4 separate regions of the Mus musculus genome follow, and regions 2, 3 and 4 are each reported to be linked to region 1. Evidence: microRNA targets listed by miRTarBase, many of them from high-throughput screens and not tested one by one. Region 1 holds a microRNA gene; each other region holds the end of a gene's coding sequence.

Region 1 (7,120 bases):
AGCTACTGTGACTATTCTAATGACAGTGTCCCAGAGCCAACCCCAAATTTTCCCCCTTTCTCTTCTCTGCATCTTCCTGGAACAGCAGAGATGGGTACATCTGGTTTGCCTTCCTCTGTCTGGTTTCTACCTGTTCTCCTGCCATTCAGGAGCAGTCGGGAGCTGGGGTGTGTTTCTCCTTCCACAGAGGGAAGGAAGTCAGCCCTTAGCTTGGAGGGGCATCCAGCCACTCGGAGGGTAGGAGTTTTTGTTGCTGCTCTGGGACTGGCCATGCGAGAGGAGCTACCTTTATGATAATGAGAGGCCTCAGTTGGATTTTCTTCTTCCTCACAAACTGGTGTGGTGGCATGGATGGGCTCTGAGCAGAGCTCCCTAGGAATGGTGGCAGATTCTCCTTGCTCCCCTCCTTGCTAGCTCCTGACCTGCCTCCTTACTCCCAGCTGCCCAGGGGTCTCCTAGAGAGGGTGCCTCTGTCTTGGAGTGCTTCCAGGATCAAGCGTGTGGTTCTTTTTGTCACTTGGTGGGAGGAATCAGTTCCACCCACTTAGTCTTAAAACCGTGGTCGCATGCTTCTGAAACAGTGGAGCTTTCTGGGGAAGGAAGTGGGGAGTCGTACCCTGGCCTGAGGTCTTCAAAAGAGCCAGGGGCAGTGTGACCCCGAGGAGGACCCACGGGGTCGCAGAATCTATGGTTCTCAGTCTCCCTGTCTGCAAAGCATGCGGCAGAACTAGAAGACCTCTCAGGTGCCTTGGCACTAGCTGCTTGGGGAGTCTGTTAGTGCTGATGGAGACTGTCTAGAAAAGTGCCGTGGCTTCCAGCAGCCTCTGCTCTGTGCGGCCCAGCCGACCTCATGCCTACCCAGCTCTATTTACTTTATTTATATCTTTGGCAATGATGCCCCGTGAGCACTATGTTGAACCTGGCATATGCCAGGGCCAGGGAGCTGGCCTCTGCCCCTTGATGGCTATTTGTGGTCCTGCTGTCTCTTTCTCACTTACCTGCAGCATCCCAGGGCAGACAGTGCACACCTCTGGTTGTTCCAGGCACAACTGTTGAGGAGCATGGGAGCTTTGACATCAAATAGAACCTGGCTCCATCATCAATTGTGGTATTTATTAATAATGAGATCTCTGATTTATAGGAGGTGCACTCCATGCCAGACACTGTGGCAAGTTTAATACAATAACTGTGAGGTATCCGTTACTGCTAAAACTCAAGTTTAATAAATGTAAGCTTCATACTCATTTTAGAGACGAGAAACTGAGATTCAAGTATATTTTACCTACTTTAAATCTTAAATACTTTAAATCTTAAATATCTTTTTTTTTTCCTCTAGGGGCTGAGCACTCTGGCCCACCCTACCTAAAGTAACAGTTTGCCTCTACCCAGGTGCTCACAAACTCCCTTAATGTCTCCCCTCTTCCCCCACTCAGGATTTTCTAACACACAAGACTTTTACCGTCATGTTTATACGAGCATGCCTTGCCAAATGTCAACATGGAAGAGATGTTGCCAGTGTTGTTCACCGATAAATATCCAAAGCCACTAGAATAATGTGCAGCACATAGTGGTCTGTATTTGATTATCAGTGACCAGTTGGTTACATAACTCCCTCAGGTGCAAATTACCTGGAAACTGAAAGCACACAGCTTAGGAACCCAAGCTGCAGAGTAGACAGTTTGGGGTCTAAATTACATCGTCAGCCACTTCAGTGAACTCTGACCCTGTGTAGCTTGTTCTTCCCAAGCCTCAGTTTCCTTGGTAATAGAGTAGACCAGTAACATTTGCCTTTCAGGATGGAGTAAGGATTAATGCAGACATCTATGCAGTTTTTGGCATATAGTGGGCATTCCGTAAATGTTAACTTCTCCCCGAGGATGCTCTTGTGTCTTCTTGCTTCTCATTTCTCCTCTGATGGTCTACCCTCTGACTGAACCACTGTTCCACAGTGCTGTGTAAGAGGGCAGAGCTGCTGAGGGCAGAGGACAGTGGGATTATCTGTCCTGTTAACTAGCCCTAGCTGCCTGCCTCCTTCTTCCTCCTTCCAGGATGTTCCTGTTGCCAAGGAAACACAACCTCAGCCCTTGGCAGGTTTCTGACTCCCTGTGGCTTGGCTACTGAGCTTACAAAAGGAATGAGACAGCGGTGACCATGGGCAGAGAGGTAAGGGGAGGGATTTGACTGTCCTCCTGAAGTTGGAGTCTGGAATCTCTGGAACCCTGAGATGATGAAATGATGAAATGTTCTCTGTCTCCATGTTCCTCTAACAGAGGCTGTGTTGGAGTTCTTGCTTGGTCCAGCCTTCTTGGTAGGGATGTGATGCCCAAGCCCTGGGAGGGGGCCATAGCAGCCAGAGTGACTCATATTCAGACTCTTGGCCCTCGGAATGGCACCTTCCCAGAGTTGGGACTGTTGGTGATGGAGGTGACCTGGAGAAAGTGACCAGGCTGGCCTGGTGAGGGCGCTCTCCATGTGGGTGTGGCCTGCTCTTCCTGCAGGCTTTGGTGTGACTCTGGTAGGATTGCTTCAATTCTCAGCTCTCTGGGAACTCTGTTTCTCCCTTCCCACTTAGCCCTTGACTTGGAGAAGGATGAGAGACTGTGGCTTCTGCCCAAACCAGTTGGCTACCTGAATGAAGTGGGTAGGCACGGCAGGGCAGGTAAGCATGCTAGTGGGAGACAGCCAGACTGTCTGGGACGCCACCCCACCTTTGCTTATCCCAGCTGTGTGATCCCGAGGAACCACTTAACCCACCCCTATAATTATAGCCTCTTCCTCTAGGGATTGCTGCAGGGATTAAGCGAGTTGGTTCTTGTAAAGAGTTTATGTCCAACCTAGACACGCTGAGCTCACTCACTGAAAGCCATTATTGTCATTCTGAGGGGGAACATTCCTGGAGGAGACTGCATCAGACAGAGTAAAAGCGATATTATTGTTGTAGTTATTATTACTATTAAAATTGTTAAAGATCGTTTTGAGGGGGTATTCTTGAAAAATGGAACGAAGGATGGGAAGGATCCCACTTCTGCCTTGGCTAGAGTTGATCATGTGTTATTCACCTGCCCTGAAGGTGGCTTTTCCATTTTTTTTTTTTTTTTTTACTTTTTACAACTTGGAGCATAACCTAAAAAAAAGATGTCAGGGACCTAAGTGGGTCTATGGGACAGAAGAAAGATGGGTGTGTGTGCTCCAAAGTGGACAACGAGGGCTCAGAGGCCATGAGCCTCAGGATGAGGAAGTGGAGGAGTTAAGGGGATGGGGACAGTGGCCTCCTAAGCCTTGCTGAAGCTTGCACCCACTCACCCGTGGCTGATAACGCTCAGGAAGTGAAATGAAGGTCTGGAGCCAGGGGCACCCAGCTCCAATATCTGGATGCCTGGTGAGTGGCGGGCAGGTGATGTTGGGTTGGTTCAGAGTCTGCCCATCTTCCATAAAGTTTAACCTGGTATTTTTTTCCTCCAATATAAGCTTCTTGGGTGTAGGAGACTTAACCTTCTCACTGAGGGGAGCTGGTTACCTTCTTCATGAGAAACCCACGAGGTCCTTAATCAACACTTGCTGAATGGACACACGGATAAATGAATGCATAGTGTTTGCTTCTCAGGCGCAGTAACCTGAGAACCTAGCTAGACTTTTAAGAAAGCCCCTTATAGTCCCCTCCCACACTATACTTGGCTTTTTCCATCCAGCTGGAGGGAAGGTGGTGTGCGTGTGGGGTATCAAACATGTTATCTTTACTCACTGTTACAAACCTAGAGCCCTACCCAGGCCCTGTTGCAGAACAGGGGCTCAGCCAATAGCTGTTGAATGAATGAACGCCACGGAAAGCCTTCTTACCCTGAGTTTGCTCTCAGCAGTTAGGGAGCCTTGAACTTCTTTCTTTGACTCCCCTGACATTCCCACCAGATAGGATGAAATGGCACTGCCAGACCCCGTGGCCTGAAACTCAACCGGGGGTGGGGGGGGGGGAGGGATCAGGCATCCTCTGGAGTTGGCCGTCACACTTGGTGTCCTTGGCAGGCTGTCTCGCTGGTTTTTATTTTTATTTTTTCCTACTCCCATTTCTCATGCTGACATGTGTGGCCAGTCAATGGAGCTCGCTATCTTGTCATTTCCTACTGCTCTGCGCTGCATTTGCGACCAGTCCCCGTGGGCTCTGGGTCTTCCTTGTCTTACTATCTCAGATCCACTTGTTCAGGTCTGAAAAGGCAAGGGCTTCCGGGGTGAACGGGGAAAGGTCTGAGCAGCAAGTGTACAGCCGCTCACCCTTAACATGATGGCAGGAAGAGCTGCATGCCTGGTGTGGGGGGCCAGCTGGCTCTGTGACCTTGGGCAGGGTGACCTCCACCACTTCATCTCTCTGAGTCTCATGTCTGGGGCCCTTGCAGATCTTTAATTCCCTGTCGATGGGTAGGGACGGTGCTGGTGGAATTGGAACGATTTTTAAGTTGTTATGTGCTTCCCAGGGAAATTGTAGCTGTTTTCATTTTAAAACTTTTCATTTAGGCTCTGGTTCTGAGTGTAAACACAGCGCTAGCTACAAGGAATTCATATTTGGTGATTTATTGGGAATATTATTATGGTATCAGGAAAGGGTAGTTTTTTGTTAAATATGTTTTTAAAAGGCTTGCTGCATTCTTAAGCATGATTTTATTATATCTTCAAGCGACTTTTTTCCCCCATGAAGAATATATCTGTGATTTATAATGGGCCTTCACTAGCAGAGCTGGTCATGAGCATATTCTGTGGTGTTACATCATCCCCAAAGAGTACTCTGGCTACGGGCACTCCCAGGCTCCCAAGCATATTGCAGAGGCTGAGTTGCTAAGTTCTTTCTAGAAACCAGCACTGCTGGAGACTCACCATACCTATGTCCAGTCACGCAGCGGGGAGTTGGGGAGAACAGGGGGTGTATGGATGTACTGACCCAACTCTCTTGTCATTTACGGAAAGGCAATGGGGTTCCAGAACGGAGACGTTAATTCCTGGAAGGATACTGCACTGATACAGCACTGCCTCCGTGCCTGCCCCTCACCCACTCCACGTGCCTTGTCTGGTCCTCCGAGTATTTCCTTCACCCAGCCGCACGGCTGGGGCCCGAGGACGGCACTTCCCTTACGCCATGACTTGTTTCCTTGTACCCCCTGGTGGAAGGGTCACAGCTAATTCAACACTCCAACCAGCATGTACTTGCTCAGACACCCCCTCCCCCATGGCTAATATCCAGCAGAGTCTACTGGCATCATTTCTCCAGAAAAGAGGCTGGAAGACTTAGCAAGTTCAAACTTAAGCATTTTTTTTTTATCAACAGTCCCAAAGGGCCACCCTTTCCCTTTCCGTCGCCACCACCAATCCAATAAGGCTTCCGTAATCATAGGAAATCAGGTTGTACAAAGCAGCAGCAGCAGCACAGGCCGGATCAGCAGGCACAGGATACATTACTGAATCAACCGAGCCAGCAACCACCCAGGAGCCATCTTTGTCAAGGGCAAAACAAGAAGAAGCTCACGAAGATACAGAAATGACTGGACTCTCTTGGTTCTTCTCACGGAAGGAGGGGTGGGGTAGAGGAGATAGTTTTCCTTTTTCTGTTTTCTCAGAAAACATGCAAAGAAAGGCTTCACCAACAACTAAGGTCCCATCAGTATCTCCCAAACTTCCCTTTTCAAAGATGGCCACCCCTGCTGTCCGTTCGAAGGAGCACATGGCGGGATCTATGGGGTGTGGAGAGAGGTAGGCAGCAGGAGAGATATAGTTTTCCACAAAGGTTGTTAGATTTTTTTTTCCTTTATTGATGGGATTTAAAGTGCATATAACTGAAGGCAAAGTCCCAGGCCTAGAGAAAGATACGAGGCCTGAGAGAGAGGCTCAGAGAGTCTAAAGGCAGCCGATGAGTACCCACCTAAAAAGGCCACTTGAGCTGCAAAAAAACAAACAAAAGCGCAGGGAGGTAAAAAAAAATGGGGAGAGACAAAGGGTTGGTTGGGAGGAAGGATTTTGGGAGGAAGGATAAGACAAACACTAATTCAGAAATTATCTGCCAAAGGTGACTTGGAGGAGCTATTTGCATCCCAGCTATGAAAACACTTGCTTCAAGGACCACGAGTAGTGGGATAACGATAAGACCAGGACACGTTACCCCGGGGCCCTTCCAGTGGGACAGGAGTGATAGGGCCTCTCCAAGCCTGGCATGGTCTCAACTGGAGAACTATTGTGAGTCTAGGAGCACCTATCAACCCAGGGCGATGCAGGGGCTAATGGCTGTGGCCTGGAGCCCACTCAGAGCCACCCGTCCCTCCCTGCCACTCCCCAGCACAAGGCACGTGTCTTCTGCTACTGAATGTGGCCAGGGTTCCACTTACCCACACAGGCTGTGCCGTCTTCATTGGGTTCATAGCCCCGATTGCATCTTTTATTGGTCCGGCACCTGTAGCTTCCATAGGTGTTGACACATACGGGTTTGTCTCGAGGGCACACAAATGGGAACTGGATGCATTCATTGGTGTCTGCAAAGCAAGGGAGCCACTCGCCAGGGACGTGTAGGCAGTGTGCCCTAGCTTGGGATCTGTCTGCCCACTGAGCTGTGACCCTGGGCATGTCCCTCCTTGCTGGGCCTGTCTCTCTACTTCAGTGCTCTAGGATAGCTCCTCCTATCCTGGCCTGTGCACACTGGGAGAGCTCAGGCTTGGTCCTGGGTCTCTTCTGTACACGACACTTGCTCTAGATAAACTATACGTGGATGAATGTAAACTTCCTGCCTTCAGCCGTAACCTCTCCTCTGGGCTCCAAGCTCCTGAGTCCAATCACCACTGACCTAGATGTCAGTTCCACCTCGATGCCTAATCCCCACCTCAGACTGATCATTTCCAAAATGGAACTCTGATTTCCCTCAGCCCTTAAGCCTCTTCTGTCCTGTTTCCATCTTCCATGGTTTCATCAGTGCTGCCACCAACTACTCAGCCACGCAGCGAAATCAGAGTCATCTCTGGGTCTCCCCTTACCTCACCCCAGGGTGCAATCGCACAGCAGGGGTCCTATCCACTCTGCCCCCACCATCTCATCTGTTTGCTTTCCTCACTCTGCCCCCACCTGTACCCAGCCCCCACGATCTCTTGCCTGG
Region 2 (7,120 bases), not on the chromosome of region 1:
AAAAAAAAAAAAAAAAAAAAAAGCCAACCTCTTAACATATATGTAAAAATTCTCAAATATTTAAAACTAAATTTGTAATTTTTTTAAAGATACACCATGATCAAGATGGCTTCATCCCAGACATGCAAGGATTATTCAGCATGGGTCAGTCAATAAACTTAATACACCACACATAATCAGACTCAAGGACAAACCACATGATCATCTCATTGGATTCAGAAAGGGCCTGTGACAAAATCCAACATTTCTGTGTCCTGGAAGGGGAACATGTTTCAACATGATAAAGGCAAAATAAACCTAAGCTAAATAGAGAAATCCTCAAAACATTTCCACTAAAACGAAACAAGAATGTCTACTCTCCCTTCTCGTGTTGGGTATAAAACTTGGAATCTAAGTGGAGAGACAAGTGAAAGAGACACAACAAAAATAGGAAATGATGTCCAAGAATTATATGATTTTATACATAAATTATATATGGATTCAATTTTATACAGAAAATACAGACTACACACACACATCAGTAACACCATTAACTGATAAATAATTCTAATCAATAATTCAATCCTGAACAGTGAAAGAGCTGCTGAGGGTATCTCCACCCCCAATTTTAAAGTCACACTATGGAGCTATAGTAGTAAAACCAGCATGGCACTGGCATAAAAAGGCACATTACCCAATGCAGTAGAACTGAGGACCCAGGTAAGTCCACACACCCCACCACCATCTGAGTTTTGATAAAGGGAACAAAGATACCAGAGGAAAGACATCTTTAATAAATGATGCTGGTCAAACTGAAAAGCAGGATGTGGAGTAAACTGGAATCTTATCTCTCACCCTGCCAGACCTCAACTCCAAATGGATCAAAGGACCTCAGTGTAAGGCATGATACCCTGAATCTGATAGAGGTCGGGGGTGGGGCAGAATAAACTTAAAAGCACACAGAAGGACTTTCTGGACAGAACCCCAGTAGTGCAGGCAGTAAAACCATGGGACCTCATAAAACTTAAGGTTTCTGTACAACAAAGGGACAGTATCATTCATGTGAAGAAACAACTACAGAAGGAGAAAAGGTCTTTACCAGCTACACATCTGGTAGAGAATTAGTGTCTAGAAGACACAAAGAACTAAAAAAAACTCTCAAAACATGGACTGGGGAGCTAACAGCAGTTAGAACACACAGCCATTAGAGAGAACCTATGCTCACATACCACACACATAAGCATTAAAAGTCTTTTAAAAATCAAAACAAAACAAAAAACCCTAAACCTAAAAAACAAGCAAGGAAATAAGCCAATCTTTAAAATACAGCAAAGGCTGGGCAGTGGTGGCACACGCCTTTAATCCCAGCACTTGGGAGTCAGAGACAGGAGGACTTCTGAGTTCGAGGCCAGCCTGGTCTACAGAGTGAGTTCCAGGACAGCCAGGGCCACACAGAGAAACCCTGTCTCGAAAAACAAAAATACAGCAAGGAACTAAAACTTCTCAAGACATACAGTGGGCTGGAGAGATAGCTCAGCTGTTAAGAGCAGACAGAAGACTCAGACACATAAGTAAGCTGGGCTGGGCAGGACATGATGGCTCTAGCCCTTAATCCCAGCTCTTGGTGGGCAGAGGCAGGTAGATCTCTGTGAGGTCATGGTCTGCTGGGTCTACACAGAGGACTCCAGAACTGCCAATGAGAGAACCCTATATCCAAAAAAGAAAACAAGACAAAACCTACCTCAAAAATATTTTTTTTAATGAAATGTCTGAAAAACATGTTGACCACCCTGAGCCATCAGGGAAATGGGAAACAACTTTGAGACTTCAAATATCTTACACCACTCAGAATGGACAAGGTTTTTAAAAATAGACAGTAGAACCTGGCATGACTGTAGAGAAAGGGGATCATCCTTCACCAGTTTGAGTACAAATTGATACAACCACTGTAAGTCAGCATGGCAGTTCCTCAAAAAGTTGAGAATAAAGTTACCCCATGATGCAGCTACATCCTTGGGCATATACCCAAGCTTCTATTATCTACTTCTCCAGGGTGCTGCTTCTCCATGTTAATTGCTCTATTCACAATAACCGGGAAATGGAAACAGCCTAGAAGCCCATCAACTGATGAAAAAAATGCACCTTTACACAATGGAATTTTCAGCGGTTTTAAAACATCATTCGAGCCGGGCGTAGTGGCGCATGCCTTTAATTCCAGCACTCGGGAGGCAGAGGCAGGAGGATTTCTGAATTCGAGGCCAGCCTGGTCTACAAAGTGAGTTCCAGGACAGCCAGGGCTATACAGAGAAACCCTGTCTCGAGAAAAAAAAAAAAAAAAAAGCAAAACAACAACAACAACAAAACATCATTCAAGTGATTAGATATGGCTGGGGCTGAATACAGCTCAGCAGTTAAGAGCACTGACTGCTCTTCCAGAGGTCCTGAGTTCAACTCCCAGCAACCACATAGTGGCTCACAACCATCTGTAATGGCATCTGATGTGCTCTTCTGTGATTAAAGGCCTTTTAAAAGACCTTCTGTAGATATGTTTTATGTAGCCCTGATTGTCCTGTAACTCATTCTGTAGACCAGGTTGGCCTGAACTCAGAGATTCACCGTTCTCTGCCCCCAAGTGCTGGGATTAAAGGTGTGGGCCACCAAGCCAGGCACCAACCGTTTCCTTGAAAATTATAATTTTTTTCTTCAACATATCCATGTACAACTGGTGCCCTTTGGTGCCCTTAGAGGATATTAGAGCCTCTGGAACTGGAGTTGTAGACAGTTGTAAACCATGTGGGTTCTAGGAACCAAACCAAACCCTATTCAAGTAAATGCTCTTAACTGCTGAGCCTTCCCTAGTTGCTCAACCACTTTCTGATTAAATCTCAGGCTTACTCCATGAAATAGTAGGTGCTGTTAATGGAGCCAAGAATCTGTGGCTGTATAAGTCACAGGCTTGAGCACAGGGTAAAATGAGCACAGGGTAAAAAATGACTTTTAATGACACTGCTATCCCCATAGGTAGGTGTACTGCCAACTTTCATCAGAAAAGCTTTCAGATGACAGCTGCTCAACAAGTCCAGAGTGAGAGTGTGTGTGTGGAGTGTTGACCTCTAAGTGGAACATTTCACACCTCTCTGTCCAAGCTCAGGGATCTTTAAGGAAGAGGGTACAAAAAAATTTAAGAGCCAGAGGCAGTACATAACTTCAAGGGAAAATGCTTTCAAGACACAATAGAGCAGTAAGGCATATGAACTCACAGAGACTGTGATGGCATGCACAAGACCTGTATAAGCTGAGGAACTACTGTTATTACTGCTACTGAAAGAGGGACTCAGTTTTCTTTGGTAGTGTGACCCCTAGTAGGCTGACCACATTGCAGGGCAGGAACCACACTCCATAATACAAATCAATTCAATGGGTTTAAACAACAACAGAAAACCTTGGGGCTAGATGGGTGGGGAGGTGAGAGTAAGGATGGATATGGGAGAAAAGGGTGTGTGTGTGAATATGATCAAATTTCACTGTATGAAATGCTGAAAGCATTAGTAACACAATGTTGATTACTCAAAAGGAAGTCTGACCTTCAGACCAGACTTCTCATCAGCAAGATCTTTCAGTTTTGGTCTGTGAAAATCCTAGCTCTAATAACTCACATTAAAACCATCTGTATCTGGCTAGGAGTGAAGGTGGCACAGGCCTTTAATCTCAGCATTCAAGAGGCAGAGGCAGGAGAGTTCAAGGCTGCTGGTCTACAGAGCAAGTTCCAGAACAGCCAGGCTATGCAGAGAACCCTGCTCAGTAAACAAACATTTTTTTAAAAAAACCAGCTGTTTTCAAAAATCAACTGTGACTACCCTGTGAGAGATCAGTATTTACCCATAAAGGCTGTGATTTAAGGGACACAATGATGGGCTGGAGAGATGGCTCAACAGTTAAGAACACTGGCTGCTTTTCCAAAGGACCCAGGTTCAATTCCCAGCACCTAAATGGTAGATCATAATTGACTGTAACTCAGTCCCCCTCTTCTGGTTTCCATAATGGACTGCAAACACATGGTACACAAATAAACATGCAAACAAAATAAACATTAAAAAAAAAAAAGAATCAGAATGACACCGGCTACTTTGACTCTCTCAGTTTTGGGTACTACTCCCCAGTGAGCAACCTCCCACACAGCAAGAGGCTAGGGTCAGATGCAAATTCCACAGAGCTATGGTCCAGGGCAGAGAAAGCTGTAAGGTAACCACTACAGGCCTGGGAAACAAACAGGCCCTATAGTGTGATGAGTGAGTTACTCCAAATGTTTCACTGTCTTGTGTCCTCCTGTGGGGTAGCTTCAGTGGCTTCTACCTGGCAGGGTTAATGTTGACATGAGCCCACGTTTGTTTCGGTGCTTCTGTGGAAACTATTCCCCCAGTTTTAACCTCTTCTGCAAAATGCCTGATGCTGTTGTCAGTCTTGAACCTCCCACAATGGCTTTGCCTACTTTATTCCTACTATTAGGCTCTACCTAAGATTTTGTTAGAAAACAGGCATTTCCTTAAAACAAGCTTTGGAAAAACATTTCCTGGGCCCAACACACATGAACCAAACCTCATAACTGCAATCCTCATGCACTTTATATATCGGTTTGGTCTAATTACAAGTTATTAAGCTTGTTCTAACACTGTGAACACCCAGTCAGCTATCCTAGCATCTATCCCTTTTAGTATCACCAATTCAGATAGAAAGCCAGCACATGATCTTACTAACCTAATCTTGGCAGACAGTGTTTGGGAGATCTCTGGGTGTAGGGGAAGGGTCTGATCCTGTGAGAAAGAAAGTGATGCTAGCTTGGGTCTAGGGCAATGCATGTTCTGAAAGGTCACAGAAGAGGCAAAACCAAGGCAACTGGAACAAGGCACCAGTAAGGGAAGCCAGGGCTGTGGTAGCTTCAGATTTAAAAAGGACTTGGACAGGGACACAGAGATGGCTCAGTAATTAAAGCTCTTGTAGAGGATCCAGCTTACAACTGCCTGTAGTTCCAGTTCTAGGGGATCCAACAAACACTTCTGGCTTCCTTGGGCACTAGGCATATATGCTATACAGACATACATGCAGGTAAACACTCATATATGTGAAATTTAAAAGGGAGGGAGGCCTGGTTAAAGCTGTGGGAAGCTTCCCCTTATCCAAGTTCCAAGGGCCTGAAGATAGTACCCGTAGCCTGTGCCTAGGTGTTCTGGGTTAGAGGAGTAGTTAAGTGGCTGTGTTGGAGCTATCGGGAATTTGTATAGGTTCAAGTGATCCATTTATTTTTTTCTGAATACAAATGAAAATGTTTATCTTTTTTGATACACTGACTTTTTAAAAACAGGCCTTCTTAAAAGCACAGGTAAGCGCTAATTCTCCTTGACTATATATATTCAGGGAAGGACTCTCACATCATTTAAGAACTTAAATGGGTGGGAGGCTAATTATAAAGTACAATCTTGAAGACTAGTAGCCAAGGAAGTATCTTCAAGGCTGCTGCCAACCTGTTCTTGGGCTCCAGTGACTTGCCTGGGGCAGGCTCGCCATAGCTTCTCTGTAGACAGGAGACGCTAACGTATAAGCACTTTGATCACCACAGTCCAGTCACCATAGTGTTTGCTCACACTCCAGAAGGCATCCTTCAGCTTCACCTGAGCTTATTTCCCAAGACCAACTGGACACCAGCAGTCCAACCCGAGAGCCATTACTTTTCAGGACGAGGCCACCATCTAGGCTGCATCAACCAAGACGACCAGATGCCCACGGCACTGGGGAGAAGGGTTGTTTCCACTGGAACCCCAAGGAACTTATCTTCTGTTCGCACGATCTTCCCTCCAGGGCCCTGTTCTCATCTAGGCTGCCTTCAGTTTCTGCTCCTCCTGTGGAGGGAAAACGAGCTTTGCACCATTTCATCCCTACTGCTAGCTACAGCCCCCTAGCCCTACACCTGAGAGACAACAGACATCATGCTAAAGGAGGCACCTCCCATGGCATGAGGCTGCTTCCTGCTTGCCTCCCTCTCCTGTGTGTGATGGCATTTCGAGGGCAGAGCCTCCACTTGCAGAAGGCCTCACCTTGACAGTTTTCTCCAACTGAGACAAGGCTGTCTCATAACGAGCAACCAGCGGCTGCAGGAGCTTCCTGGGGATCTCATGGTGTGTCAGCTCAGGCACCCCAGCTTCTGACACCATCTGAAGGAACTTCCTTTCCTGGAAGGGAGGCGTTTCATGGGAAGGAGTCTGATCAGGCCGGCATCTGTAGCAGCTTGGCTCTGCCCATGACGTCTGCTAAGAACTAAACAATCTTACCTGCACTTTCAAGAGAAGTGTGAATGCCTGTCCAGTTTTCCCGGCTCGAGCTGTTCTCCCGACCCTGAAACCGAGCACGAGTGTTTTTGGACAGTGGCTCCTGGCCCAGAGACCTGACAGGACAGTGCCTCTCTTGGCCATACTGTACATGACCATCATGCAGGGTGATCCTACATAGGATGACCAAGAATCCGTAATGTGGCCTATCAATGGCCACTGCCAAGTACCCCTTACCTGTGCACATAGGTCCTCAGATATTGTGGGGCATCGTAGTTGATCACCAGCTCCACACCCTGCACATCAATGCCTCGAGCAGTAGCATCTGTGCTGATAAGGCTGATGAAACACAGGCAGTAGGGCTGAGGGCCAGGAACAAACATCCACCCCTGTGCCTACTCCGCCAGGGTTAGTTCCAAGTCCCTCTTGGAAATCAGCTGCTCGGAAACTAGGGGGTCCCAACGACAACCCAACTCTATAGAGTAGGTCCTATCTTGTTTCCCTGGTACTCACAGCTGGATCTTTCCTTGTTCAAACTGCTTCAAGATTTTCTTCCTTTGGCCAGGCCCATAGCGGGAGGAGAATTCAGCCACACTCACACCCCCAAAAGCTTGTGCTAATAGGTACAGCCTGGGCAGAGAAGAAATAGAAGCCAGGTGTTACGAGAGTCTAGTGTACATTGGCTCCACCCACCTTAGTTCACCTTACCTGTGGGAGTTTTCTCGGGAGTTGGTGAAGCAAAGAGCCCTTGAGCAGCTCATCCTGAGGACCAGGTGTAAGACAATGAGTGGCTTCGAGCTGAGTCTACACGGCACATAGTG
Region 3 (7,120 bases), not on the chromosome of region 1:
TGTTTTCTTGATGTTCATATTTTTGTTTTGTTTTGTTCTTTAGCTCTTTATGTTTTCCTTTAGACTGCTTTTGTCCTGGAATGTTTTTCTATTTCAATTATAACAGATGGTTTTGCTGGATACCATGATCTTGCTTGGCATCCATAGTCCTTCATAACTGGAAATACACCACTTTAGTCTTTTTGGCTTTTAAAGTTTCCATTGAGAACTCAAATGTTACTCTAATTTGGTCTTCCTTATATGCAACTTTTTCTTTATTTCTTGCAATTTTCAATATTTCTTTGTTTTGTTTCTTTAATGTTCTGAGTATTATACAGCATGGGGAATTTCTCGTTTGATCTTTGGTATCCAGTGGGTCTTTTGTATTTAGATGGGCATCTCTTTCCTTAGATCTGGGGAATTCTCTATGGTTTTAGTTAAAGTATTTTCTGTGCCTTTAATTTGGATTTCATCTTCTATATCCATAATATTTGTAGGTTTGGCTTTTTTTTTCATAGTGTTTCAAAGATCCTACATGTTCTTTTTGTGTGAGCTTGATTTTTTTTGTCTTGTTAGACTGAATGTTACAATTCATCCTCTTTGAATTTTGATCCTGATAGTTCATCTTCCATGTCATTGTGTCTACTGGTGGAGTTTTTCACTGAGCTTTTTGTGTCAGGGTTTATTTTCGTTTGGGTTTTCTTTAATATTTCAATCTCTTTATTGAATTTCATTTTCATACCCTGAATTGTCATTCTTATTTTGTATGTGTTCTTAATCTTCAGTCTGGTCTTTGTTCATGTTCTCTTTGAGTCTTGAACATATGTTCTTTTGAATTCATTGTCTTAAGTGTCATTTTAGTTGTTGTCAATGAGAGCCATTCCTATGGAATTAAAGATTTCCTGGAGGAGATATATTGTCTTTGTTTTTCATGTTTGCATTTTTATGAAAGGGCCTGAGTAGGTGTATGGAATTAGGGCTTTGGTCATGTCTTTTGGGATGGTCTGCCCCACCTTTGTAAATAGGCATATGCTTCTCTGTTTACTGTTATGCTAGTTTGACAAGTTTTGTATCAGCAAATGCCTGAAGTTCAGTCTTAGGATCAGTCAGAACTGATTTGTGAAGGGTTCAGCAGAGCGATTTGTAGCTCAGCTACAGAAAGATGTAGTTTCTGGCCTCACCAACAAACACCCCAGAGAACAAGGAGGTCCTCCTGGCAGTTGCTAAGAAACAGGCTAGAGTGCCAGAGAACAGAGGTAGAGTGCTACAGTGGGGTTTGGGTACTCAGCACAGGGCCTTATAATACCCATTACCGGTGGTACTATATTCTCAGAGGAAGGGAGAGTTGAGAGCAAGCAAGGTGGTGGGCAGGGTCTCATTTGGCCTGCAGTAGGATCCCAGAATAAGGAAGAAGTGAGTGTCATTTGTGGACTGAGGAGCTTGTGTACTTGGGGGCTCAGTGCAGGCCATCAGGTAGTGGAGCTAGGTTCCAGCATTAAGGGGAGGAAAGGGATATCTAAAGGATGAATAAGTGATTCCACAGATACCCAAATGGCAGAGGTAGCCTGTGAGGCCTTTAGCCTGACAGGCATTTGAGGGAATACTCAAGTGGGCACAGGACAGAAGAAATGTGTATTGGGAGTAGAAGGTCTGGATCTCTTATCTGCCTAAGTTGAGTGGATAGAAGCCTAAATTTGAACCACATCACAACCACCTTCTTCCTAGGACCCATTCCCTTAGTTTTCACCTAAGGAAGTTCAAGGACATTAGTGGACTTAGTCAAGATTACACTAAGCCTCTGTGAAAGATGCACAAAATAGGGAGGAAGTGACTTCTCACTGTAGATACCACAGGAGGTTATGGAGGAATTTTGCTAGGGTTTTCTGTGCTGTAGATGGAGATGGATAAATAGGGTGGCTAGACAATCTACATGGGAGAGTAGAAGACAATGTTAAATATTATTTCTGAACTAAACTTGTTAGGTGGGTAATCATTGACCATCACTAATGGAGAGTCAACAGTGGAAAAGCTCAGTGGAGATTGAGTGTTTAAGGACATGACAAGAGGTGACTTACAGAATCCATAATAAAATATGAAACAAATCAAGACTTGTTGACTGCTACTTAGTGACTGCTGAGTTAGCTACTTTCCTCATGGTTGTGACAAAGTGCACAGCAAATGTGATTCAAAGAAGGAAGGATTTGTTTGGCCAATGGTTTAAAGGGATACAGTCCTACCTTCAGGCAAAGCACAGCAGTGGGCATGAGAGGCACCTGGCTACATTGCATCTGCAGTCAGGAGGTAGAGAGAGGCTCCCTCTTTCCTCTTATGGTTTTTGTTCAGTCCAGGGCTCCTGCCCATGGCATGATATCACGCATATTGAGAGTGGGCCTTCCCTCTTTAGTTAAACAGCTATGAAAATACCCTCAGAAGGTGTACCTCAAGATAAATTCATCAAGCTAATGATGAAAATTAATCAGCACAAATTCCAAGAGCCACGCTCAGTATCATACATACATTCAATTTAATCAACACCAAAACTGTAGGAAGAAACTTGCTGTTGTCAAACTGGGGAACACAGTCAAGGAGGCTTGTTGATTATTCTTGGGGTATCAGAGAGAGCCAGTGATGTGTCATACATAACTTGACTCTAGGTAATCCAGCTGCAGAACCTACATTCTTATTACTCCCGAGACACTTTTCCTTCATATCAAAAAGAGTGAGAATTTCTTCCTGAGCACAGAGAGTAATGGCAGAATCTGGAGTCCTTCCTATCTGAGAGTCCTTATTTTTCACACATTCACAAAAACATAATTTGGTACCAGGGGAAAAGTAGTGTAGAGGAATAAATTAAATAAGATTGCAAGAGTAAAGGTTGAAGGCCACATGGGACTTTGGTATTTTGTTTTTCTCGTTTTTATACTTAGGTGAAAATGTCATAATAAAATATTTTTGATTGACCATTTCTATTTGATGAAGAAAGGGGGTGATAGCAGAAGTAAGACCAGAAGACAAGAAAGTCATTAAATATTAAAAATGACCTCCACCACATGACAGAGTGTAAAGTGAGCACCCGTAGCCTGATATGTCTACATTTACACATTTATTTGGGTTTAGAGAGAAAACACAGGTAAAATACTTTGATCATACACAAGTTTATATTTGGTAGCATAGGTTGCCACATTTGTTTTTATTTTATTTTTTCTGTCTTTAGTTAATGTAGTGGTGCTGGGGAAATGTTGACATTATTCAGAAACACCATTTGGCAACAAGATCTTTGCATACACAACTAATTAATACACAGTGTTTGCATTTAGCACTTGAAAACAGAAAAGCACGTGCAAGATGATACCTGGTTTGATGTTTTTGCTTCTTTGTCCTGTTACTATATTTACACCTGTGCATCCTTTGTCCATGTTCTGAGGAGCAGCACCTTCTCCAAGACCCTGTAGAGTCAATACCTGCACTGTCAGCAGCCTGTGACGCTCCATAATTGGTTTCTCTGGCCTCAGAGATGAAGCATTTTGTGTGCCATCACACAGTTGTCAAAGAGATTTCTTAGGGTGGGACTTAGTTGAGGTTATGTTTTCTCTAAGAGCCAATGGAGAGGGCACACAGCTTGGGACTGGGTGAAAGGGTGAGGGTAGAAGAGAGGCAAGGACAGGAATGGATGCAAATGTAGTTCTCATAATTTCAAAGTTCAAAGTTCAATACAACTACCACATAGAAGAAGACACACTGGTAATACATTGTGCAAGTTTTTACAGCAACACATGTTGTTTTGCAACACCACACAATTCAATATAAAGTGCACAACCTCAATCTGAGGTGACAAGACAGTACTAACAATGTACTAACGGCAACACTCACACACACACACACACACACACACACACACACACACACACACACGATTTTCTTTCTTCAAATCCTGTGACAGAACATGAAGTCTATACCACTTAGAAGTCTTAGATAAACACATACTGCACTTTTTTCAAGTATTTTAAATAATAAATGAAATATTGCTATATAAATAAAAATTAGCATATCAATTCTGATTAAAACTGAAACCAATGTTTAAAAAGAAAAAAAAATCACAGATAGAGACCATTGGCACTGGGGATTTGGACCAACGTTCAATATAGTCTCCCTCCATTATTACTCCATTATTACTCTTTCATCCCATTTTCCTTAGCACTCTCCTGAGTGGATGGCAGAGCTGCTGTAGAGGATCTATTAAAGTACTGGGCATGCATGTACCTCCTTTTCTAGGATACAGGATGAGAAGATTTGCATGCCCGAGCAAGGCTCCTAGAAATTTTGAGGAAGAATCTGGAGAAGAAGGGGATTGGAGATCCAATTCACTAGCAAAAAGTGCATGGACACAACTTTTTAAATTCTGTCATCTCATCAAACTAGAAGCCAGCTTGAGCTACTAAGTCTGTCCCCCAAGGGCTAAGCTTTCCATCTATCAGACAGTAGGCCCTTCTGCCTTCTCTAAGCGGGACACTCGGTTTGATAAGTGAGTCTCTGCCCGGGAAGTGAGATCTGTGGGCCTGAGGCACAAGATGGATGGGCAGCTGCATATTTACTCTCAGCAGCCAGGTTCTAGAAAGGAAAGTTATGCCTGTCCATTAGGGAGTGCTGACCTACTTCATGACACTCTGGTGTACAGGTTGTTTTCTTTTTGGCTGTCTAGACAGCAAGGGCCCAAAGCTACAGTCATACTGAGGATCAGTATGTCTAGTCAAATAAGGTCTGGGCTAAGTTGTAAAGATTTGTGGTAGTTAGGGACAGGGCCTTCTTTCTTCTGTTCCTGTATCTTTCTGAGTACCAAAATGCCCATCCATATGGAGTGGGAGAATGCTTCCAGACTGGTACTTGCCTTTTGCATGTAAAAGTCCATAGTTCTACCAGCACTTAGATCTGTTCATCTGTGACTTAAAGTTATCATGGGAGCTGTTGATCATTCTCCATCCAGTTTACAGGGAAAGAAACGTATTTTCAAACTCTTGATTTGAATTTTAGCGATCTCTGCACATTCTAGTCACTGTGGGTCTTGATGGGAGGCAGATAAAAGAAGTTCTTAGGCTACCTTGAAATTGCTTGCATGAGGAACTCATTTCAGGAAAGGAAAAGAGCCACATGGGATAGTAATTCATTACTAGGGGTCTGGGGGCAGGGAGTCTAGCAGGAGAGACTTTAAAGTGTGGGATGGAGAAGGAATTTGAAGAAGAGAGCATCTGGGATGCAAACGACCCTTTCCCCAGACAGTAGCAAAATGGCATCTGGGAGGAAGCCATTCTTGTCATACAGAGGTCTCGACTCCCATGACTGGGTTTAATATTCTGTGCTTATCACACTTAAGGAGTGTGCTGTACCCCTCTTTGCTAGGGCTGATTTGGTTTTATTTTCACCCTTTTTCCTAATTAATCCAGATGATCTAATAAAAGAATATGGTTTGAAAAGACACTTCAAGAACTAATATCAACCTTTGGTTGAAAGCAGGCCGCCGGGAAGCAGAGTGGACGAGCTTGCCTGGATCTGGGTCCAAGCTGGGCTTGCCTGGCTTCTAGACAGGGTCTGCGAGGTCAACTAGTGCAACATCTAAACAGGAAGAGAATCTTAATTGTTGATCTGTTCAATTGTTTTTAGAAGTTTCATTTTTGTGTGTGTTTGCTTTGAAATACTAGCTTTAGGGATATGATAAGCCACAATGTATTCTAAAGTAAGTTATTACATTTTAAAAGAATTTTGTGGGTTCTATGTTAAAACTATCTTGCTAAAGTGTTTTATTGTGCCTCCATGAGAAGAAAGATAGAAAAAAGTAAAGAAATAACTCTGGCTTATGTTTCATATCTGCCTCTGCAGTCTGTATAACCCATATAAAATAAAATCTATATGTTACAAAATAGGATTTCTTTTAATATATATTTTTCTTTTGTAAAATTATATGTATTTAAATACATTTGAAATGTTGCTCTAGGTAAATTAGAAATTCTTTTCCTAATACTATGAAAAAGGCAAGAGTTTTTCTTGTCCACATACATTTTATATTTACTTTGTCCTTTTCACTGTACCCCAGAGAACCTTTTATGATTCAAGGGTGATTTGGCACTATTTATTACTACTGCTCTGAAGTGAAAATAAGGTTGGATTAACATACTATATTAAAAGGGAAGTATTTATAACAATTTTATACTTTCTCTTACTGATTAGAACACAGCCTTTTGTCACTAATTATTAGAGAGGTATTCTAAACTTAAGAAAGGATTTTAAAAAGGAGTGATGTTTCCTGTTGGTTTTGATTTCTTTGTTTTTTGGTTTTTTTCGAGACAGGGTTTCTCTGTGTAGCCCTGGCTGTCCTGGAACTCACTTTGTAGACCAGGCTGGCCTTGAACTTAGAAATCTGCCTGCCTCTGCCTCCCAAGTGCTGGGATTAAAGGCATGCGCCACCACCACCCCACTGGTTTTGATTTTTTTAAACTGTACTCTACTGTGACACCACGATATAGAAATAGAATTATTCTGGAACAAACTACAAATACATTTACACAGTTTGTGACAACTTAGCTGTCTACCTAGAGAACTGAAACAGTTTGATGAGTGAGGTGATTACAAATCTTGTCCGAGGCGTTCGATTTCTTCAATAAGGAAGTCAATGTCTTGGTGAGTTGCTGCAGGGTTTGAGATGACCATGCGGAAGAAGTTGACCTTGTCCCCTAAGGGTTGGTAGCTGACCATTGTGGTCCCATACTCCATCATTCTGGCTTTAATCACTGGCGCCACCTGTGGAAGAGAACACGTCAGTGCAACGACTTTCTCTCTATCTCCTTTATGTTAGTTATGCAATCAATGTTTGTATGTTATGCAGTGCATCCCATAGCAAGTGGTGTTTTTAGTTTTTAACTAAACAGGACCACAATTTTCTCTTGAAGGAACTGCTTCAAGTTTTCATGAGATCAGCAAATAAAAATAGCTCAGAATATTAAAAACCCTAAATATAATAAGAGACTCGTCATCTTGCAGGAAATGAAAAGAATCTTTTCCTGGGGTTAAATGGTTTAACAGTACTACACTGAAGAGAGTTTCACCCTAAAAATGCAAAGTCGTTGAAAGAAAGCACTATTAATAAAAATTA
Region 4 (7,120 bases), not on the chromosome of region 1:
TAAAAAACACGTTTGATATGCATTTGATAAAATGCAACATTTTTTGTTTGTCTTTAAGTCTGTGAATGAATTCAGAGTTTCAGTGTGCAAGCAGAAGTAGGCATGAGTCCTCTTAGAGCATCCCGGTGTGCGGACACTTCCCGGTGTGCGGACAGACACTTCCCGGTGTGTGGACAGACACTTCCCGGTGTGTGTGTTCTTTTTGCCCAGGGATTCAGAATTTCTCCTTTGACAGTGAAAATTGTTCTTTGTCCAACTCCTGCCGCCACCAGGACGTGATGCTGAGCTGCACAGTGTTGGTCGCAGGACTGTGTGTCTGGCAGCCTTTGCTCCTCCCTGAGGGTTATAGCAGACCCTTTCCTCTACTCACCTCACTTTCTTTTAGTCTGAACAGCAAAAGAAGCAACAGGAGGCTGAAAAACTGCATCGTCAGGAAAGGAAAAATCTGCGCAGGTCGGCCAGCCACCTGAGGTCCAGACCCAGAAGAGGCCGGCCCTTTCACTGACCAAAGAAATGTGCCCACGAGCAACTAGACGCTGTGCTTCTCCCCATGGATTCTCACAAGGGCATCACACCCAGGCTCCGTGTAGATGTGTGTGCATGGTGCTGGTGGTCTGACTGGCCCACTACCCACCTGGAGAAGTCCCTGGCCCTGGGTGCTTTTTCCAAGTGGCTGCCCCTTTCTCTCTCCCCCTCCCCCGCCCCCCTTAAATCTTGTCTTCTCCCCTGCTGATGATCAGGCATCATTTCAGATATTGGAAAGGCCTCCATGAAGTGAAAAGTTCACCCTCTACTGGAAACAGGACATTATCATGCTGTAAGAATGGCTTGGGTTAGCCCAGCCGTGGTGGCGCACGCCTTTGATCCCAGCACTTGGGAGGCAGAGGCAGGCGGATTTCTGAGTTCGAGGCCAGCCTGGTCTACAGAGTGAGTTCCAGGACAGCCAGAGCTACACAGAGAAAACCTGTCTGGAACCCCCCCCCCCCAAAAAAAAGAATGGTTTGGGGTTTTTTGTTTTGTTTTGTTTTGTTTTTTTGTCATTTGTTTATTTGAGACTTGAGTCAGGGTTTCTCCGTGTAGCTCTGGGTGTCCTGGAATTCAATCTGTGGCCTTGAACTCATAGAGATCCACTTGCCTCTGCCTCCTGAGTGCTGAAGTTAAAGGGATGCACCACCAGGCCCAGCCAGAGTGTCTGTCCCCACTGTCTTCTGCCCCTCAGGACTGAGTCACATGATGACTGCTGAGTGGCCCTGTTTATGTGCATGAGTATGTTGGCAGGCTGACTGGCTTGCTTATATTCCTTTGTATAGTTTTTAAGCTATTTTTATATCAAGGGTATAAATTAATAAATAATAAGTGAACGCTACTGGCTATTTGTTTAGCTTATCACAAAATTACGTAGTTATTTTCTGATGAAGTACTATTTGATACAGGCAGCGCCTATAAAAGGAGATGCTTTTCTTTGGACATTTTCTCTGAGGAAGACTCCTGCCTGTGGAAATTTAAAATTCACTTTAGCTTCCATACTTTGGAGTTTCTCATGTAAACAAATAGAATGGGAGCTCGTTAGGCTGTACCTATGGTGAGTCCACAAGGCAGGACACATTAGTTAGCAGTCAGTGTTGTTGGACCCTTGTCTCTTTAGCCTGTGATGTGTACTCAAGAACTTTCTGACTGTTGGTACATGAATCTGCACATGCGCATGCACGCACCCACGTACCCACGCGCACACACACTCCTACCTCTTTATTAACTATTAAGCAGATCCCTCCTGGGGCTGTGAGCCCCTGGTGCCCTCTCTTCCCTTTCTCAAAGTTTCCCATTTTAAAATTGTTGTGCATGCTGGTATCCCACTCTGTCATTTTTCTGTGTTTATATCAGTTGCTTTTGTACACCTATCACCAAAATAATCAATATGGACTTAAGGGATTCATCTTGGCTCTTAGTTTCAGAGGGTGTCAGGGTGTGCAGATGCTGTTCACATCACTACAGGCCAGGAAATGGAAACCCAGACAGGGCCTTAAAGGGCTTGTCTGAGCAACCTGTGGTTGACCTCTGCCAGCTAGCCTTCACCTCAAAGAACATCCCCACACATCCTAACTACTATCTGGGGACAGATGTTTAAGTTAGAGGCCTGTGGGAGACATTTCAGGCTCAAACCCTAACCTGTGATTGCTCGTTACCAGCACTAGGATGTGGCTTTGTCCAGTCCTGCCAGCAGCTGTCCTTCCCGGTGAGACTTAGGAGCTAGTGTGAGAAGTGTAGCACCAAAGCTGGGCACCAGGCCCTGGAGGACTGGGGTTCCTGAGTGATGTGTGCTCTTCTGCTCCAGATCCCTCTCAAAGCTTTAGTATCCCAATCCCAATGCCTAAATCTTCTGTTTCAAGTATTTTCATCAGTAACCTTTGAAGGAAGCAGACATGCTGGGAGGGGCAGGATTAACACAGGGCAGACAGCAGAAAATACAGGCCCAGGGGTGCGGGACTTAGAAGGGCTTCTGGGAAGAAGATTGAGTTCAGATCCTTTCCTCAGAATCCTCCCCTGGTTCTCTTCTCATCCAGTAACATCCTGAGTCCCTGAAGGACCCTGCCTGGCACAGACTCCTTTGTTTGCTGTCACCACACTGACCTTCCTCTTTCTAGAACATTCCGGGCATTCCCTCAGCTCCCCACGCTCCCCCAGGCCTCTCAAGTTACTTTCTCTCCTGTCTGGTCAATTCTGCCCCATTTACATTGTCACATCCCAGTGTCAGCATGTGTTTACAAATGGTACTCCATTTAATATGCTTTCAAAACGTCACCACGGGGACCACAGAGTCTTCTTGAGTGGAAGAAGAAAACCAAATACAGTAAATCATATCTGACCTATACATGAGTATCCATGCTCATATACTCATGCACACACATGTGCACACACACAAATAAGTATAGCATAAATTTAGAACCTTACTATGGAAAGTGTCGGGTACACACAAGAATGGATGGGGAACAGTCGAGTAGACCAGCATGCCCCAGCAGTGTGCAACGTGCTCACGGTGAGTTCTCAGCTAGCTTGTCCAGTGTCAGCTCCTGTTTCCAGAATGCCAACTCAATAAGGACTAGGGGGAATGTTTTAATCAGTATGTTTTGTTTGTAGCTGTGTATCTTAATCTCTCGAACAATGCCTACCACATCATGCAATGTTTATTTAAGCCGTTATGGGGTGCCCACCAGAGAAAACCACTCAGACGTAGTCCATAGCTGCCAATGGTGACTGCACTCAGGTCTTTGAGGCCCAGTACAGCACCAAGCTTTTAGCATAAGGGGTTTTTAAGGCAAAACCACATCCTGGTATCTCACTTGGCAGCTGCAGGGAAAGAGCTGTACAAGCAAGCAGTATAACAGAAGCCAAGGTAAATTAGCTGGAGCATCTTGACCTCTTAGAGTTGGTAATTATTTCCCACAGGATTCTCCATGGAGGAGAGCAAATTCTAGTTAAACCTAAAGTGGCCTCAGCAAGAAGACAAGCTAGAGGAACGCTGTGTTCTCCTGCCCTGTCACAAATGACTGAGTGGGATGGAATTGAACATTCAACTTTCTACTTTTTTTTTAATTAGGTATTTTCCTCATTTACATTTCCAATGCTATCCCAAAAGTCCCCCATACCCTCCCCCCACCCCCCTACCCACCCACTCCCACTTTTTGGCCCTGGCGTTCCCCTGTACTGGGGCATAGAAAGTTTGCAAGTCCAATGGGCCTCTCTTTCCAGTGATGGCCAACTAGGCCATCTTTTGATACATATGCAGCTAGAGACACGAGCTCTGGGGAACTGGTTCGTTCATAATGTTGTTCCACCTATAGGGTTGCAGATCTCTTTAGCTCCTTGGGTGCTTTCTCTAGCTCCTCCATTGGGGGCCCTGTGATCCGTCCAATAGCTGACTGTGAGCATCCACTTAGGTGTTTGCCAGGCACCAGCATAGCCTCACAAGAGACAGCTATATCAGGGTCCTAGCAGCACAATCTTGCTAGTGTATGCAATGGTGTCGGCTTTTGGAGGCTGATTATGGGATGGGTCCCCAGATATGGCAGTCTCTAGATGGTCCATCCTTTTGTCTCAGCTCCAAACTTTGTCTCTGTAACTCCTTCCATGGGTGTTTTGTTCCCAATTCTAAAAAGGGGCAAAGTGTCCACACTTTGGTCTTCGTTCTTCTTGAGTTTCATGTGTTTTGCAAATTGTAACTTATATCGTGGGTATCCTAAGTTTCTGGGCTAATATCCACTTATCAGTTCAACTTTCTACTTAATGTCAGACTTTAACCTTTATGCCTAAGAAGTGATTCCCACCTGAGCTTTCAGAGATGAGATGCAAAAAGATGAAATTGCAAAGGTTGACAGAGGGACAGGGAAAAGGAAGTTGAAAATATACGTTATAAATAAATAACCTTTAGGGGAAAGTTTAACATAAGGAAACAGAAATGGAACTTATGTGGTCAAGAGGGCATGAGAGAAGGGTCAGTGTGTGGGTGAGGGACTGGCTGGTGAGATGTCTCAATAGGTGAAGGTGCTTGCTAACAAGCCTGATGACCTGGGTTCAGGCTCTGAAATCCACATGGGAGAAAGAATTGACTCCCGTAAGATGTATTTGAGTGTGTGTGTGTGTGTGTGTGTCTGTCTGTGTGTGTGTGCTTCCACGTGTGCACACAACTCAAGTAAATGTTTTAGTAAAAACTTTTTGTAAAGAAGAAAACATGGCATTAGAGAAGTTGGTTCCTGATCTGTGTCTGTAAATGGATGGCGTGCCGCATACTTTGCAGTCAACTAAACACCACTAGGGTCATTTTCAGAGAGAACCTCAGTTGAGAAAGTGTCCAGCAGTGTCCAGTGAGTGGGCTTCCATAGAGGCTTGGCAGCCTGGAATGGGAGTTGCAGGAAGGTGGAGGCCTGCTGTGCTCCTGGGCTTCCTGACTAGTGAGATGCCCCAACACACACACATCAGATGGAAGAGGAAGTTCTCATCCTTTGATGATCCTTGCTCCCAGCCCAACCCAATAGGACTTCAAAGCTGACAGGTGGGAAGGAGTCCAGCTATGTACTTGAAGTAACCTTGAGTTTCTTTTAGATGTAGGCCAGAATGATGCATCCTAGACTTGGGAGTTGAGGGGGTTTCGAGTCCAGCTGGCCGGAACACCTCCCCAGTTGGATTTCCCCATCCGGCCTCCCTCAGTTCACTGCCCAGTTTCTGCTCACACACCTGGTTGACCCGGGGGCAGCTTTCTCTTCCTCTAACCCTTCTTGAGTTCTGCAAAATGGGTGGAATGTTGGAATCTCTCCTCCTCAGGGCCCCACTCTGCTCCTCTGTTGGAGCTCCACTGTGTCCCTCCAGTCTTGCCAAGCTTCCCTTGCCTGGTCTGTGGTTGCCTCTTAATGAAACTTTTCCTTCTGGACTTAGTGCTACACCCCCCTACACACACACACCCATCCCCCATTCCCTTTCACACTGCACTTAGGCTCTGAGGTCCTTCCCCAGCTCCTCTTCCTCCCCCTCCCCCTCCTCTGTATTATGGTCCTCTGGTCCCTCGTACTCAGAATAAAATTCATCACTGCCCCCCCTCCTTCCCTGCCCCGCCCCATGTTATCTTTATTTCCTCCTCAGGCCCAACAGCAAAGCCATGGTTTGTTGAGTTGATTCACTGACCGCTCCTTGCAAGTAACTAAACAGATGGATGCCCTGCTCTGGTGCAGTTTCTGTCTTCACCGGAAAGCAGAAGAGTCACAAGAAAACAAGCAATATAGACAGGCAGTGGTGTCAGCATCGGGAAGCAGAGGCAGGAGGATCCCTAAGTTCAAGGCCAGCCTGTTCTACAAAGTGAGTTCCAGGACAGCCAGGACTACACAGAGAAACCAAATGAAGCAAACAACAAAAAAAAAAGTTTAGGGCTGGTGAGGTGAGATAACTCAGGTGGTTAAGAACACTTGCTCTTGCGGGAGTCCCAGGTTCTACTCCCAGCACCCATGAAAGCAGGAGGAGGAGGTGAAGGAGGAGGAGGAGGAAGACATGACAGGCAATACAATGAGTAGTGTGGAATAAGGCTGAATGAAATCGGAATAGACCCCAGGGCATACAGCAGATGCCCCAGGAAGACCTGTAAAACAGTTCTGAAGCCATAGAGCCTTACCCAGGAATCCCAGAGCTCCAGCACAGACTCAAAGGGCAACTTTGCTGTGGTGCTCAGGGAGGACAGAGCCTTGGCCAGTGTGACTGGCACAGGACAGAGGACTTAGACTAGAACAGGAATGGCTTGATGTCAGCATTGTGGGCCCTAGGACATCAGAATGGCTGATGCTCCAGTCTTAGGTCATGTCACCCTCACAGGTGGGTGTGCCCTCTGCAGATCTTCCCATTTCTGTGGTCCCATGGCCACAACCCCTGCTCACCGTTTTTCCTCTGTACCACATCAGTGTTTGTACATAGATGGCAGAGTCAGGGATCCCCAGACCAGGCTGTGAGAAACTAATCCTTTAATGATGGAGGGCTTTCCAAAGCTAGCATGGAGTCTGTTAGAGAAGACAACAGAGGAAACAAGAGGAGACCTGGGTCTCGTCTAGACTTGCTCAAGGCTAAGTTGCCAGTTAGTGGCACAGCCACTTAAGACTGCTATTCCTTGGTGTGTGCATCTGTAAAGTGGGTTTAATAGTATCTGTCCCCTGAAGACTTCAGAGAGTGTTTGTGGAGCTTAATGAGTGAGGTCCATTAAAGCCCTCAAAAGAAAGGTGGAGCTAAATACAAAGCAGTATTGTAATTACCCTGCATGTTCTCTGAGCCAGGTCACATCTTGTTTTAAGAGGGTTACCATGACGATGGGTTTGCTTTAAAAACTTGAGTTTCAAAGGCATAGCTGTAAGTCTCCAGTAAGGAGTGAATTTCATTTCATTACTTTTTGTCATGGGGTGGGACAGAATCTCACAGCTATTTAGGGACTGTCATGGTGTGACAGCTACTGTTGCTGCTGAGTGGCAAAGACCTTGCTTGTTACCCGTCCTGAGCACCTGGCGAGTCTTAATGAAGGTTATTCCGTCAGTAAATCCCCAGCACACCCAACATGCCACAGGCAGGCTGAGGGTGGCTGTTGGCTGTGTGGGGG

What was found. Region 1 holds the annotated microRNA mmu-miR-3085-3p (UCUGGCUGCUAUGGCCCCCUC, at 2,335-2,355, opposite strand). A microRNA usually pairs through its seed, bases 2 to 8, with sites in the 3' UTR of a target mRNA and lowers its output. Matches are read on the target gene's strand: a 7mer-m8 pairs with bases 2 to 8, a 7mer-A1 pairs with bases 2 to 7 and ends in A, and an 8mer does both.
Region 2: miRTarBase lists Ddx51 as a target of mmu-miR-3085-3p. Seed matches in the 3' UTR shown: 7mer-A1 at 5,033-5,039, 7mer-m8 at 3,924-3,930 and 7mer-A1 at 3,652-3,658.
Region 3: the mRNA of Gad2 is a reported target of mmu-miR-3085-3p. Seed matches in the 3' UTR shown: 7mer-m8 at 6,336-6,342 and 7mer-A1 at 5,820-5,826.
Region 4: miRTarBase lists Nol10 as a target of mmu-miR-3085-3p. Seed matches in the 3' UTR shown: 8mer at 941-948 and 8mer at 1,181-1,188.

Annotation. Positions count from the first base shown.
Region 1 is chr19:42,277,761-42,284,880 of GRCm38, forward strand. It overlaps Mir3085 (microRNA 3085), which reads right to left and starts at 2,410; the gene lies at 2,322-2,410. It overlaps Crtac1 (cartilage acidic protein 1), which reads right to left. Exons shown (of 15, transcript NM_145123.5): 14 at 6,363-6,506; 15 at 5,275-5,920. The coding sequence ends at 5,802. It overlaps Gm34347 (a long non-coding RNA gene), which reads left to right. Exons shown (of 3, transcript XR_386718.4): 1 at 1-2,163.
Region 2 is chr5:110,656,334-110,663,453 of GRCm38, reverse strand. Ddx51 (DEAD box helicase 51) reads right to left here. Exons shown (of 15, transcript NM_027156.3): 10 at 7,008-7,120; 11 at 6,813-6,929; 12 at 6,537-6,638; 13 at 6,303-6,366; 14 at 6,069-6,203; 15 at 2,958-5,873. The coding sequence ends at 5,847. Among named protein-coding and RNA genes, the nearest start is that of Mir7026, 6.2 kb to the left of the region's middle.
Region 3 is chr2:22,689,821-22,696,940 of GRCm38, reverse strand. Gad2 (glutamic acid decarboxylase 2) reads right to left here. Exons shown (of 16, transcript NM_008078.2): 16 at 3,064-6,768. The coding sequence ends at 6,595. Among named protein-coding and RNA genes, the nearest start is that of Mir3967, 39 kb to the right of the region's middle.
Region 4 is chr12:17,428,730-17,435,849 of GRCm38, forward strand. It overlaps Nol10 (nucleolar protein 10), which reads left to right. Exons shown (of 21, transcript NM_001008421.1): 21 at 386-1,366. The coding sequence ends at 505. Among named protein-coding and RNA genes, the nearest start is that of Gm36752, 4.2 kb to the right of the region's middle.